2 linked regions of the Rattus norvegicus genome follow. The protein of the gene in region 1 interacts with the protein of each later gene in a pairwise test. Links are inferred from orthologs where the notes say so. Each region holds a gene or a part of one and is shown on either strand. Other genes may lie near its edges.

What was found.
Region 2: the proteins of Cyth4 (region 1) and Fos interact in a two-hybrid assay, tested with the Homo sapiens proteins (2 studies listed by BioGRID and IntAct). The two-hybrid records come from large-scale screens. The link is inferred for Rattus norvegicus from reciprocal best matches to the Homo sapiens genes CYTH4 and FOS.

The regions. Positions count from the first base shown.
Region 1 is NC_086025.1:112,047,476-112,054,701, reverse strand, and holds part of Cyth4 (cytohesin-4), read right to left. Parts: intron 3,386-7,226; coding exon 3,274-3,385; intron 1,134-3,273; coding exon 1,057-1,133; intron 285-1,056; coding exon 213-284; intron 1-212. UniProt on the Homo sapiens protein: Promotes guanine-nucleotide exchange on ARF1 and ARF5. Promotes the activation of ARF factors through replacement of GDP with GTP.
Region 2 is NC_086024.1:110,849,061-110,856,992, reverse strand, and holds Fos (protein c-Fos), read right to left. Parts: upstream 4,806-7,932; 5' UTR 4,654-4,805; coding exon 4,513-4,653; intron 3,753-4,512; coding exon 3,501-3,752; intron 3,096-3,500; coding exon 2,988-3,095; intron 2,875-2,987; coding exon 2,233-2,874; 3' UTR 1,939-2,232; downstream 1-1,938. UniProt on the Homo sapiens protein: Nuclear phosphoprotein which forms a tight but non-covalently linked complex with the JUN/AP-1 transcription factor. In the heterodimer, FOS and JUN/AP-1 basic regions each seems to interact with symmetrical DNA half sites.

The DNA of each region.
Region 1 (7,226 bases):
GCGTCTGTATCCTGGCTCAGAAAATAGCTGGGATTTAGAAGTTCCCTAGTTAGTGCCAGAGTCAAGCTCCACAAGACAACTGAGGCTTGTTCTTTCAATGACACTGTCCAAAGCTTCAGGAGACCCTACAGGAGGAGTGGTTGGGCCTCATGGAGGGTCCCACGAAGGCCCCTTCCCTCAGCCATGCAGGGAACCCCCAACTGAACCCTTACCGGCTTCTTGGGGTCATCCACCTTCTGCACAGAGAGGTTCTCCAGGGGGATGATCCCCCGAGGCTCTTTGTCCTACGGAAGCAAAGTAAGGGGCAGGAAATAATCTTGGGACCTCCTCAGGCCATCTTTGCATACTGCCTAGCCAGAGAGCGTTCAACACTAGCGCCTTGGTTGGGATCTGGAAGACCCAATTAAAAATGTCTTTTTCATTTTTTATTCTATGTGTATGGGTGTTTTGCCTGAATGCATGTAAGTGGGCCACACGTTGGGTTGGTAGTGCTCACAAAGGCCAGAAGACGGTGTCCGATTTCACTTCAGGACTGGAAGGAGTTACAGACAGCTGTGAGCCACCATGTGGGTGCTGGGAATTGAACCCAGATCCCCTGGAAGAGCAGCCAGTGTTAACTGCTGAGTCATCTCTCTAGCCCCCTACCTCTTTTACAATGTTTTTTTGAAAGAAGGATCTTGTTCTGTAGCCCAGGTTGGCCTTGACCATGTTAGGAGCTCCCATGCCTGGCCTTTAGCAACTCCATTTGCCTTGAACAATTTGTTTGTTTGTTTGTTTGTTTTCGGTGCTGGGAATTGGCCAGGGCCTCACACAAATTAGGCTCACGCTTTAACACTGATCTACAGCCCTAGCCTGGGAAACCCAACTTTAAGCCAGGCCTCTCCCCTGCCCAGCCCCTTCTCCTCTTAGTTCTCTACGTCTGTGGAATGGGACATAGGGGCACTGAACCCTCTAAAAGGGCCTAACACTCTACAGCAGTGACACTGGCTCTCTTGCGGACAGGGTCTGGTTATGTCTGGTTGTGTCCTATTCCCACCTCCCCACACACTCACTCACAGTGGTGAACTCAAAGTAGTAGAGGCAGTTGTCCGTGAGAATGAACCAGCGTCGCTTCCATGTCTTCACACGGCCCCCTGCACGAGACAGGCAGAGGGGAGGAGGGTCAGCCTTCCTCCTCCTGGGTCACCAAGTCCCCCCAGAGGACAGCCACAGAGCCTTGTGAGCATTGCTCTCCAAGCCTCCAGATCCATTCTTTCTATACCTCAAGTGTTAGCAGCTCCCAGCAACTCCCATCACCCCGTTTCCTTGGATTTGGGTTCCCAGAAATTAGGTAGAGGGACAGTGGCACTGTTCCCTGCTCTCCCAACTAATGTTACCTGACCTTTACTTGACCCCCCACCCAGACCCATGCTTGCTTTACGTGCTTGCAATGCTTAGTGTGGACTGTATGATCTAAAGTCATCAGGACAAGCCTCTGGACAGGTCCATTCACGAGAGGGTTTCCTGACTGAGTTTGCTGAGGTGGGAAGACCCCCCCTTTCAATGTGGGTAGTAAGCAGGGGCTGGACTCCGGGACTGAAAAAGGAGAGACTGAGCCTTCGTTGCTCTCTGCTTCCTGACGGTGACCCGCCTCCCCAAGCTTGTTGCAGGAGGGGCTCTTCCTCCTCAGTTGCTTTTGTTGCAGCTCTGAGACCAGTAGCTAACACAGCACTCTACCTTTGATGTATCAGGCCTTTGATGATGAAGATGTGAATCCCTGTGGCCATTCCCACCACACCCCTGGATGGCCACTGGCAATCCCATTTTATAGATGAGGAAACCAAGGCTGGGAAAAACTAGACTATGTATTCAAGTCCCTGTGCTTTTCAACTCCAGTGTCCTTGTCCTGGAGCCCAAGCTCTCAGCCATGTTGCTATGTGGCCAGCATTCTCTTGGGTCACTGCCTCCACAGTCCAACTACAGAAAGGGATGCTGAAGAGGGGGCAGTGAGTTCTGACGCCCCCTCTGCTGTCTGGCTTTGTGACCTGGAGGCTGGAAGCCAGTGCCGGGCAGCAGAGGAGGCCCAGAGGACTGTGGGAAGAGAGGCTGGGGTGACAGACAGAAGGCTTGGTGGGCATCTGGGATATGGGTAAGTCTGTCATGATCTAGGTACACAGTAAGTGATGGAGACTGCCCAGCCCAGGCATTCCTCCAAGATGAGCCATTTTTCTTCATCTGCCTTGGAAGACCCCAGTCCTTGCCTGGCTGGCCATGCTGGGTTGGCTCCTGAGGGTGTTTCCGGAGGCAGGGTTGGTTGTTTCTATCAACCATTGGAGCACCCATTGCTGCATTCACCATGGCTCTGTCTTAGTTACACCCTTCCCCCCTCCCCTCTCTCTGTCCTCCTGCTTCAGGGACATCCAGCTCTCTGCTGCCCTAGGTAGGATGCTTGCTGTCTGTGTGCTCTTGAGAAGTTCCTTTAACCTTGCTGACTCTTGGCTTCTGGAGAATGATCACCCAAATGTTCGGCTGTTCAAGGACCAGCACCTTACAGTCAGTAGTCCTGAGCAGAGCTACTCTGCTAGACTCTTCTCTCCAACCCTCTGGGAGAGAAACATCCATGGAGCCTCTGTCTCCTACTGTCCTCTAGCAGTCACCCCTGTACCCCTGTACCCCTAAGACAGATGGATGGGTAGAAGGGGAGGTGTTTTTATATATATGTGCACGAGTGGATATGTGCATGAGTGAATATATGGATAAGAAGATAGGTAGATGGATGAATGGATGATGAGCAGGAGGATGGATAAAGGAATGTGGATAGATAGGTGGGTAGATGGATGGAAGAATGAGTGGATGGATGAATGAGTAGAGGAATGGGTGGGTAGATAGATGAGAGGATAGATAGAACAATGGTGGGTAGGGGTGGATAGATTGATAGATGACTGTAACAGATGGATAGATAAACAGGCTAGGTGGAGAGGTGAATGGGACAGTTGGATAAGACAATTGGTGGGTAGGTAGATGGGTGGGTGGATAGATGGGTGAGTGGGTAGATGGGTGGGTGGGTAGATGGGTAGATGGATGGATGGGTGGATGGATGGATGAGTGCATGGGTGGTTGAGAGGAAGGATAGAAAGTGTAAGCAGACTGCTAGGCTGTGGGTTAAGAGACCCAGAGCTGTGCAGGTCCACTCCTGAGGGGTGTGTGTGTGTGTGTGTGTGTGTGTGTGTGTGTGTGTGTGTGTGTGAAACGTGTGCAGGTAAGCACATTTGAGAATGTGCATAGAGGTCTCACCCAGCTTGAGTAGCCATCCTTCACGGTCAGGATTGAAGAAGGTGTGAGTAAGGTCACTACCATCATCTTCGGGGATGGAGAAGGGCTCACTCTTGATGCTGTCAAACAGGTTCTGCCCGAGAGGAGGAAAAGGGTGGCTTCAGTTCACTGATATGGGCCCTGAACAAGTCAGCCCTCTCCTGGTAAACCCATTCCTGAGCCATTCTTGTGACCTATCCCGCCAAGTCCCTGTCCCCTCAGGTGACTGGCACTCACCTTTTGCACTGGCCACACCCAGAGCCTTGTATGCCTTCCCCTGTGTTACCCACAGGCAGAGTCAGCAGGGTGGGTGCCTTGGGTTCACACATAAGGACACTGACGCTCATTCCTACCCTCCCTGGGGACAGCAGCTGAAGTAGGAACTGCTTTGGGCAGGGCTCATGGTGGGAGATGCCTCTCTTCTATTTAGATAGACAGTAGAACCTTCTAGATAACACATGCTGGGGTGAGGCTAGAGGAGGCCTTAGGGAGGAAGGGATTGACTGCTCCAGGCTCAGAGGCCCAGTGGCAGGCAGGAGAAGTACCCAGTGTGGGGTGCTGGCCACGGTGTCTATCTAGAATGGGTTCTCATTGTAGGGATTGGGATTTAGAGGGTCCCCCTTTAGCCCTCCCTAGATGACTTAGCTGTTTAAATGTGCAAAGAGTGACCCCAGAGGTATGTGAGCCAGGGCTGAGATGGCTTCTACCCTAGGGCAGGGCGTGGGTGCAGACCCACCAGAGTGATTTGAATCTCTAGTGGGCACTGGGCTCGCCCAGCTGTGTGATTGAATCTATGGGGGTGGGCCTGGGCCATCCTCTGGCTCAGCCTTTATGTCCCCTTCCAATCTTACTGTGGTGTGGGAATGACAGGAAAGTGAGGACCCACTTTTTTGGCTGGAGTAGGGGGAGCGGTTCGTGGGGGTGGGGCGGCAGGCTTTACCTTGGGAATCCCCAAGTGGCCTGGCAGGTGGAATGAGTGTCTGGGGCAGGAAAACCATTGCAGTAGCTGAGCTGTTAGCTCAGACAACTATTAGGGAGCCTGAGGAGGCTGCAGGGCCACAGACAGGTTTTCAGCCTCTGCTAAACCCACAAGGGTACCTGAAAGTTTCTGCGGTCGCAGTAGCAAAGTTTGTATTCTGCCTCGCAAAGACGGTGCAGCACACCCACACTTCCTGTGTTTTGAAGACACCCGAGGCCCCTGTCACTGAACAAACCACTGCATAGAAAACGTCAGGGCCCTGGGTGACCCTGTGGCCCTGTTCCTAGGATTCCCTCTCCTCTCCTTTTGTCTAGGTTTACAGTGAGTTGGGTATCCCACTCCATCTCCAGATTCCAGGGAGGGACAGTGACCTCCATTTGGCTGTGTACAGCCTTGTATCCTATGTGCTATGATGACTAGTTTAAGCAGAGATACGTGACCCCAGCCAGTCAATAGGAATTCATTCCAGGAGTTTAGTTTTCTGGGCGAAGCTGGCAGCCTGGACCCACTTGGGTATCGCTGATGTAGCCAGGGTCTAGAAGAGAGCCAGGGTTCAGGGTAGCCTTGATGTGACATGTAGCTCCTTTGAACCATCAAGCCCCTGGATCTAGCCACACCTGAAGCCAACAGTCTGAGAAAAAGGGAATTCCTGTTCTTTCTTTCTAAAATCAATCAATCAATCAATCAATCAATCAATTGTATATGCACGTTCGTGTGAGGGTGTTGGATTCCTCGGAACTGGAATTACAGACAGTTATGAGTTGTCATGTGGGTGCTAGGAATTGAACCCCAGTCCTTTGGAAGAGCAGTCAATGCTCTTAACCGCTGAGCCATTTCTCCGGCCCCATCCCTGTTCTTTCCAGTGATATTAGTTGTGATTCTCCCAGTCAGTGTGACAGGACAGGAAGGCATGAAGGAAGAGGTATTACGATGTACATATGATGGGCTGGCTGAAGGGCTCAGTGGGTAAAGGCGCTTGCTGCCAAACCTAATAACCTGAGCTGGATTCTTTGGAAGGAGAGAACCAACTCCTGAGTTGACCTCTGACCTTCACAGGTGTACTGTGGCCCCATGTAAGGGACAGAACCCACAGAAGATGAGCCTCCATTTTCAAATGCTGAAGAGAACACTGCAATGTGAAGGAGCCGGAAGGGTGAGGACTGGGGACCTGCAGCTTTCGACTCTCGGTCCTGTCCCAGAAAGCCTATCTCCCTTCTCAGAAATGCCTTTTTCTTCCTTAGTAAACTCCTATCACTATCCATATGTCCCTGGTTCCGTTCTTTGTTTTAGGACACACGAGTCTGGGAACCTCAGCGGGTATCCCTTAGACCTCCTCCTCTGTGACAGCTGGAGGTAGTATGCTCAAGTCCGCTCCCCCAAACCTTCTAGCTCTTACAGGAGGCGACACTGCTTAAGCTAGGACTCTCCTGTCATAAACATGAAGCCTCAGGTCAGCTAACTCCAGTGGCACCCTGTGACCCACCGTAGCTTGACCCTGGTAATGGGGGTGGTGGTGTGGGGGTATGGGGGTGTGGGGATATGGGGGTGTGGGGGGGACCACAGTGACAGCATACCTAGGACATTGTCTGCTGTGACAGAGAGCCTAAAGAGTGGCCTAGGGAAGAGCTGTATTCATCTCCTGCCCCTGTGTCCAGCCCCTACTTCTGCACCTAAAACCTTGTAAGTACTCTGTCCCGGTTGCCTGTCCCCTACAGCTACAACACATCTCTCATAGTCTTTCCTACAAGCATACCCTCCAGGGCTGTGTGACCTTGGGGTGACCTCTCTTGGGGCATGCCTCTGTGTAAATTCACTTCTGTCTCTTGGTGTACTTAAATGCATTTTGTGGCTTCTTTGGAAGTTGAGCAACAAGGGTCCATGGAGAATTCACTTCTGCAAAGAGACAGTGTGGCACTGGGCTCTTGCTTTTAAAAAAATATTAAAACAAGGCCCAGGGGCAGGTGAGGGGAACCTAGGTTCATGTGGCTGCCGGTGAAAACCTGGGATGGCTCTCAGAGTGGGCCTGGGCACCCTAGGACACAGCTGGGAAGATTCGAACTCGCTACCCATTCGCTATGAGCTCTGCTCACTCCTGCTGGAGGGACTCCAGGACTCAGCTGCGGCTGAAAGACGGGCAGTCATGGGGTGGAGGCTCCCGTTGGCCCTGCTCTTTGCCTGCCTCTGTGCTGCTGACCAGGGCACCTGACCTCTCCCAGCCTCCTAGACAGATTGGAGGCTACCAATCTGAGGTGCCTAGCTATTACTTCCAAGAAAGTTCTAGCCTGGGGCCATGAGGAGGGGATGATGCTCTAGAGGCTGTCTGGACAGAAGGCAACAGGGGTCAGTTGGGGAGACCACGCACATTCAGGGCCCCTGTAGGAGGCATGCTGGTTCTGCTCCCAGGTATGATGCCTCTAATGTCTGTGTGTGTTCTAGTCTGCACTGAGGGCTGGGTTGGTTTTGTTTTGCTTTGTTGCTCCTTTTGCTTGTTTGTTTTGAAACAGCATCTTCTCTAACCCAGGCTAGCCTCAAACTTGCTATGTAGCCAAGAATGCTTTTGAATTCCTCATCCTCCTGCCTCCACCTCCCTGGTGCGGGATTGTAAAGTGAGCGCTAGGGACTGGACCCAGAGCCTTGCGCATGCTTGGTTAGGGTTCTGGGGTAACACCTTTGCCTCTCCCACCCGGGCACCCAAGATGGCAGCAGCATGTCTCTCTGTAGCGAAGCTCTCGTGGTCATCACAGTTGATGTCAGCTGTGGGGTTGAGTGTGGATGTGATTCATGTGTGGTCCCTTCCCACCAGACCTTGGACTTTGGACTTGGTCTAGGCAGGACCTGTGTGGAGTTAACCCTAGGTCCCTATGCCAAGAACAGGTTTTGGTGCAGTGTGGCGAGGATGCTGTGTTGGGATTAGGGGATAAGAGACTTGGGACTAAGCTTGCTGTAGAGCTAGTGA
Region 2 (7,932 bases), on another chromosome or scaffold:
GCCTAGGACGATAGCCTGCTCTCTATGGAGATTAAAAAGGGTTGACTAAATGAACATATGTTAGGGTAAGGAACCGAAGCCAGGTATGATAGGACATACCTGTAAAGCCAGCACTTGGGAGATATAAACAGAAAGATCAAGAGTTCAAGGCCAGCCTCAGCTACATAGCAAGTTTGAGGTTGGACTAGACTATGTTAGACCTATCTTAAGCAAACAATTGAAAATTCATTTTGTTTTGCTTTTTTTAACCAAGGGAAAACTTTTAAGGTCAAGTATGATGAGGGCTGGGATGATGATCTTAAAGGCAGTTGTTAGTCTTGCGGAGAACCCAGATTTCAGTTCCTAGCACTTGCTTGGGTAGCTGCCATTGTCTCTGAACTCCAGTTCCATGGGACCCCTTACCCTCTTTTGGTCTCTGTGGACACTGTATATGCACACGGTGCACAGACATACATGCCAGCAAAAACCCTTACACAGAAAATAAAAGTAAATATATGTTTAGGGAGGGAAGGGGGCTGGCAAGATTGGTTTGGTGGGTAAAGGTGCCTGGTGACCTAAGTTTAATTCCCAGACAAAGATCCTGTTCTTCTTGAGATGCTTTTGGAAGTTGTCCCATGACCTCAAGTGCCGTAGTACATGAATGCCCTCCCCACATAAATAAATATATATTTTAATTATTTTTTAAAGAGGCAGTTCAGCCTAATGGACAGGAGGGGGAAGCGGCAATTGGGTTTGCAGTGTGGAAGGAAGGTGGCTTATTTCAACTATTCTTCAGTTCACTCACTTTTAAGATAAAAGTAACTCTTCCCTTGATTTCATGGGAATAAGATGCTAAACTTGCTGGTTGTCTGTAATAACCACCACTGTCAGGGTTGAGGCAAGAGGACTGCTGGGAGTTGGGAGGCTACCCTGGACCACCTAGCAAGATCCTATCTCCAACAATACCAAAATAATAATAATAATAATAATAATAATAATAACAACAACAACAACAACAATAATAATAATAATAATAATAATAATAATAATAAAGGAGAAAAGTTTGCATAGAGCTAGGCTCTGTTCAAAGGATCCCTTTCCCAGGAAAATCACTAAGGCGAAGATAGGCAAATACATTTAAGGATGCTCCCTCCAGAGAAGCAGGAAGGCACGTCAGCCTTGCACAAGCTGTTACAGGCAACTCTCAGCCCCCAGGGCAGGCAGGTAGAAAATCTTAGCAATGCAATATGAACACACATATCTGTAAAATACCCTGAACTAGCGTTTCCTCTGAGTGATAAGGGAACAGAGGGCGTGTCCCCCTCCAGGACCCACCCATCTTGACAAACTGGTCTCTCTCCAAGGCCTTCCCGAAACTTCCAAAACTCTCAGAATAAAAGAGCAACGAGGTGGTCGCATTCAACTTAAATGCTTTTATTGACAATGTCTTGGAACAATAAGCAAACAATGCTTAAAATTTTTTCATTCAAATTCACTTTCCACATGTCGAAAGACCTCAGGATAGAAAAAAATAAAATAAAAATATAAATATCTGAGAATCCATCTTAATAAATAAATTGAAAACACAATAAAACGTTTTCATGGAAAACTGTTAATGTCAGAACATTCAGACCACCTCAACAATGCATGATCAGTTACATGACAATGAACATGGACGCTGAAGAGCTACAGTACGTGGATATAGCGATTTATTTCTATCTACCGGAAAATAAAGTTCTATCTTTTCTTAGTTTAATATTGGTCATTTCTAAATTGGAACACACTATTGCCAGGAACACAGTAGGTATTGTTAAAATCAGCTGCACTAGATACAATCCGAAAAATATCCAGCACCAGGTTAATTCCAATAATGAACCCAACAGATTAGTTAATGCTATGAGAAGACTAAGGAGAAAGAGAAAAGAGACACAGACCCAGGCCTGGCTCACATGCTACTAACTACCAGCTCTCAGGTGTCACTACAAACAATACACTCCATGCGGTTGCTTTTGATTTTTTGTTTTGTTTTTTTTTTGTTTTGTTTTTTTGTTTTTTTGCTACATCTCCGGAAGAGGTGAGGACTGGAGTCCAGATGTGGATGCTTTCAAGTCCTTGAGGTCCACAGCCTGGTGTGTTTCACGCACAGATAAGGTCCTCCCTAGGTCTACGGGAACCCCTCGAGGGAAGACTTGTTTCTTCTCTCTGTAATGCACCAGCTCAGTCAGTGCCGGCTGCCCTGCCTTCTCTGACTGCTCACAGGGCTAGCAGTGTGGGCGAGCTCAGTGAGTCAGAGGAGGGCTCGTTGCTGCTGCTGCCCTTTCGGTGGGCAGCTGCGCAGCTAGGGAAGGAGTCAGCCTCGGGGTAGGTGAAGACAAAGGAAGACGTATAGGTAGTGCAGCTGGGAGTGCAGGTGACAACGGGAGTGCACAGGGGCTCCAGCTCTGTGACCATGGGCCCCATCCCCAGGGAACTGCTGTGCAGAGGCTCCCAGTCTGCTGCATAGAAGGAACCAGACAGGTCCACATCTGGCACAGAGCGGGCAGTCTCCGAGCCACTGGGCCTAGATGATGCCGGAAACAAGAAGTCATCAAAGGGTTCAGCCTTCAGCTCCATGTTGCTAATGTTCTTGACCGGCTCCAAGGATGGCTTGGGCTCAGGGTCATTGAGAAGAGGCAGGGTGAAGGCCTCCTCAGACTCTGGGGTGGTAGCCTCAGGCAGACCCCCAGTCAAGTCCAGGGAGGTCACAGACATCTCCTCTGGGAAGCCCAGGTCATTGGGGATCTTGCAGGCAGGTCGGTGGGCTGCCAAAATAAACTCCAGTTTTTCCTTCTCTTTCAGTAGATTGGCAATCTCGGTCTGCAACGCAGACTTCTCGTCTTCAAGTTGATCTGTCTCCTGCACAGAGATGTAAGAAAGCATAAGACACAGGTTTCCTCAAGGACCCTGACCCCATAGTCCCAACCTCCAACTTTAATAAAGTTTCAGGAGCAGCAGCTGGTTCAACCTACCGCTTGGAGCGTATCTGTCAGCTCCCTCCTCCGATTCCGGCACTTGGCTGCAGCCATCTTATTCCTTTCCCTTCGGATTCTCCGTTTCTCTTCCTCTTCAGGAGATAGCTATAAGAAAAGGACCAACATTCAATAAGGTGGTCTAGTGTCACCTCTGTTCAGTCACCCCAGTGAAACTGGCTCCTACAGCACCCGCACCTCTCACGGTGAAGCAGTTTTTCTAACCTGCAGTTGGCAGGCTGAGTGTGATTTGCATTTAAAGTGAGATCTTTAGGAGGGGAACAAAGAAGCTCCCAAGCTAGAGAATGTGGTTGGAAGCTGTCAGGGAAACTAGAGTATTTCTTGGGGCCAACTGTCAGTGTCTGACGAGGGTGGGAAAGGGCTGCAGCCACGGTCCCTGGTCAGGAAGTGCAGTCAGTAGCGTAGGGTTTCACCCACTCTGCCGTGTCGCCTGTGCGTCCGTCCCCCCCGCCCCCCCCCAACTCCCCGCGCAGGTCCAGAATCGCTACTCACCTGCTCTACTTTGCCCCTTCTGCCGATGCTCTGCGCTCTGCCGCCTGACATGGTCTTCACCACTCCCGCTCTGGCGTAAGCCCCGGTCGACGGGGTGGGGAGTCCGTAAGGATGGGGCGCTCTGGTCTGCGATGGGGCCACGGAGGAGACCAGAGTGGGCTGCACCAGCCACTGCAGGTCTGGGCTGGTGGAGATGGCTGTCACCGTGGGGATAAAGTTGGCACTAGAGACGGACAGATCTGCGCAAAAGTCCTGAAACAAAACAAAAAGAGGAAAGCGGAGGTGAGCGAGGAGGTTCCAGACACAGGTGGAGCAAGTGGCCCTAGTGTCGCATGAAGCAGGGAGAGAGAAGCATTCTGGTCAGAGACTGCTTGTGTCTTCCTGTATGCACTTCATCCGAGATAAAAAGGTCTCCCAATATCCTCTATCCTCCCCTGAATTCCGCAGCTCAGCCTTTCTCCTCCATCCTACTGCTGCGTTCCCGTTATCCCTTCAGCATCACTCGCTCGAAAGGGGGTTTGTTATAAATATCCCTGACGTCTGCGCTGACGCAGGCGCTGCTCCGGAGTCTCCAGAATGAACTCGCTTTTTATCAATGAAACTGCCTTACACACCGGCTCGCAGCACCCTCCTCCCTCCTCCCTTCTCCCTGCTCCAGGCTGCCCCGGGAGGGGGGATTGCCGCCGTTTGCCGCCTCCCAGGCTCTAGTTAGCGAGTCTTTGCTAGAGACTTGTTGGCCCCGGCTGATCTCAGAAACAAGTCACCGAGAGAAGAGCGCAGGACACTCAGAGTAAACCTGCCGCGCGGGAGGGGGGTCACTAAGTCTTAGTATGACAAGTGTGCACGCGCTCAGACAAGTCCTGGGTTCCCAGGCTAGGGCTGCTCTGACCGCGCCAGTCTCCCTCCGGAGCAAACAAGGAAGACCCCTACTCTTCCCTGACAGTCACACCCCAATGTGCCCTCCTCGGCGACCCCCAGCGCGGACCTGGCGACTGCACAAAGCCAAACTCACCTGTGTGTTGACAGGGGAGCCCATGCTGGAGAAGGAGTCGGCTGGGGAATGGTAGTAGGAAAGGCTGTCCCCGGCCGGGGAGGCGCTACTGCAGCGGGAGGATGACGCCTCGTAGTCCGCGTTGAAACCCGAGAACATCATGGTCGTGGTTTGGGCAAAGCTCGGCGAGGGGTCCAGGGGTAGACACTGGTGGGAGCTGCAGAGCAGAGCTGGGTGGGAGCGCGGTCACTGCTCGTTCGCGGCTCCGCCGGCTCTATCCAGTCTTCTCAGTTGCTAGCTGCAATCGCGGTTGGAGTAGTAGGCGCCTCAGCTGGCCGCTTTATAGAAGCGCTTGAATGGCTTACTACGTCATGAGCGGAACAGAGAAACTGGAGGGGGGAAAGCGCTCCCGAATGCCCTCTGCGGGCTCCCTGTCATCAACTCTACGCCCCAGGCTCTCAACCCCCGTCTCAGTCTGTAACTTTCACCTATGAGTGTTCACAATTGGGATCTTAGAAGGTCTCCTGGACCCTCCGCATGTAGGATTTCGGGGATGGTTCCCCCCAGGACAACAGGGACCGGCCGTGGAAACCTGCTGACGCAGATGTCCTAATATGGACATCCTGTGTAAAGGAGGGAGGGATTGACGGGAACAGCTCGCCGGCTGCAGCCAACTCTGAGGGTGCAGCGCAAGGGGGGAGCGGGGGCCGCGGCCGGGGGAGGGGAGGCGGGAAAGGCAGAGAAGGCGAGCGAACATTCGCACCTGATTCAATGTGTACTCTGTTCCCAGGGTCAGGGGATGAGACTGGGGGTCATCTCCTTTCCATTGTCCAGCAATCTGGAGCTTTTTAAAAAAGTCTCTGGTATTAGGAGAAGCAGGCACGCAGCCCTAAAGGCTCCAAGTCTCTGTTCCCAAAGGAAAGCTAGCCCACATCAGACCTCTCTCCGTCCCAAATCAGTGCAACATTAGGCCTGAGGTTGGAAGCAGTAAGTGAAGGATTCTAAGTAAGTATTCAATAACCCGCTTTACCTACAATACTGAGTTCATTCATACATTCGTGTTTTAAAGGACGACAGCACCCACTCCCCGACCCTTGGCCACTTAGAACAATCAGGGTGACTGTCCCGGGAGACACTGACGGATAAACATTGTGCAAAACCACCCTGCAAGGATGCCTGAAGGGGTCGTTTGCTCAGTTTTGAGCGGAGGCCAGAGGGCGAGTGAAGGCAGGGGTCTGCTCAGAATTACAAGTGAGGTGAGCTCCCGGGAAGAAGGCAATTCGGTGCACAGGGGAGGTGGGGACCTGAATCCGTGCAGCCTGGAAACTGCGCTTACAAGGAACCCGCAGCGGGTGATTTTCCAGTTCGGACTTGGGGAGGGGGGGATGGGGGAGGAGGGGAGGACGGACTGGAAGCACGGTTCCCAGCTGTGCAGAGATGTTGGCGTCTGCTTTGAGCACAGCTTTGAGTCTTGGAAGATGGAACTTTGGAGATGCCGGGTGCTTCGGTGTAGAACAAACACACCCCTACTTGCCCTCAGTCTCCTGTCCTTCAGCAGAGGACAAGCCGGGTTAGACTGACTGGGCTCGGCCCCAGAGCGCTGGTCACCTCTGGGAAAGGAAACCGCAGATCCTCGCAGAACTCATGTGTCCCCTCTTCTCCATTCTGTGGATCCCAAGGGTCAAACTAACTGGTGGGCATTCCGAGACGGACTAGAGAGGATTGGGGCAGCGGATGGATCTTCAGGGGCCCAAGAGGTGCAGAACCACAAACCTGCCCTGGGCCGCCGCACCCGGGAGCTAGGCGATTTTGCTATAGATAGTAACAGCGAAGCGGCTGTTTACAGCAACACAGCGCCGCCAGGGCCGTCTCCAGGCGACGCCGCGCGGCCGGGCTCACGGTCCGCCCATCCAGGCCACCCGCCCTCCCTGCTCCCCAAGAGCCGTGGCCTCCCTGGCCAGGCTGCGGCCGCTCCGCCGACTGACATCACCCTCGGGTTGGGGGGCCGATCCCGGCTGGCTCCTGCCTATGCGCTAGCCTCCATTCTTAGAGATCCAAACCCAGCAGGAGCGGGGAGGGCAGGGAGGCGGGGATTCGTGGAAATAGGCCACTTGCTATTTTTGCATTCCCTGTCACAGGCAGAGGTGAAAACAGAATTTCATCATTGTATGTCATTAGTTTATGTTGGTGTGAATTTAGGCGCTTTTTTTTCTCACTCGAAAGAGGGGGAAGGGAAAGAGGACAACATGATGTAGAAACACAGGCTTCGTATAGCCGGTCAATCCTGAAGCGATTTCATTGGCCTTCAGTTCTCTGTGAATTCTAGTCTGTCATGTGCTTTCACTGTTCTTTACTATGAAAGGAAGAGACAGAAAGATTATGCAGACCTCTTCCCTCTTATTAGTTTCGACAAAGTAGGTCAACCTTTGAATTCCTGGTTCTGTCTGGCCTTGCCTTCCACTCATAACCACATCTCAGGGGCTCTTGGAGAAAAACCACAGTGATTTGATTTTATTTCCTTTTCAGGTTTGAAGCAGCTCTGGCCAACACCTCAAAGATGTGTCAAGATTTTATATCCAGGATTTATCTCGTACATCACTTACTTTGGCAATTAAAAACGAAAAAAAAAAAAAAAAGGTCTTTGGGTGAGCCTTCTCCTCCAAATAGCTTGTCTTTTTTTCCTTCTTGGCATCATTATGGCCAGAGAGTTGGACATCTAATACATCTGTCCTCTGAAAAGGACAAGCCAGAGACTGGAGAGATGACTTAGTGGTTAGAGCACTGGCTGCTTTTCCAGAGGACCCAGGTTCAAGTCCCTTGGCCACATGGCTACCCCACAGCCTGTGAGTCCAGTTCCAGGGACTCCAATGCCCTCATCTGGCATCCCTGGGCATCAGGCACACATACATTGCACATACATATATGCAGACAAAACACACACACACACACACACACACACACACACACACACACACACATATATATAACAATACAATTTTAAAAGGACAGACCATTGTCTTGTACCTTCTTGTGTTTGCCTAGCAAAGAACTATAGAAGGACTAGGACTAGGGTAGAGGCTGGCACTTCCTGTAGCGAATGGGGTGTACCTATCCTTACCTTCACATGGAGCCAGCCTCTGGGAAAGATAGATAAGTAAGTCAATAGAATATTAAGTGGCTTGACAGATCTAAGAATGGAATAGCCAGGGGCACAGTGAGGATTTCGAGACAGAATTCAGAGGAAGTGACTGCAATGCAGAGTGGGGCCTAAAACATCTCCCCTTCAGGTAAGACCAGGACTGCAAAGGTCAGATCATCATATGGGATCCAAGCCATCTAATCAGATCCTCCTGTCTCCTCCCCGACCTATAAGACACTCTTACATCTCAACTTGTTCATGGCCCCCATTCATTAGTATGAACGTCACACCTTAAAAACAGG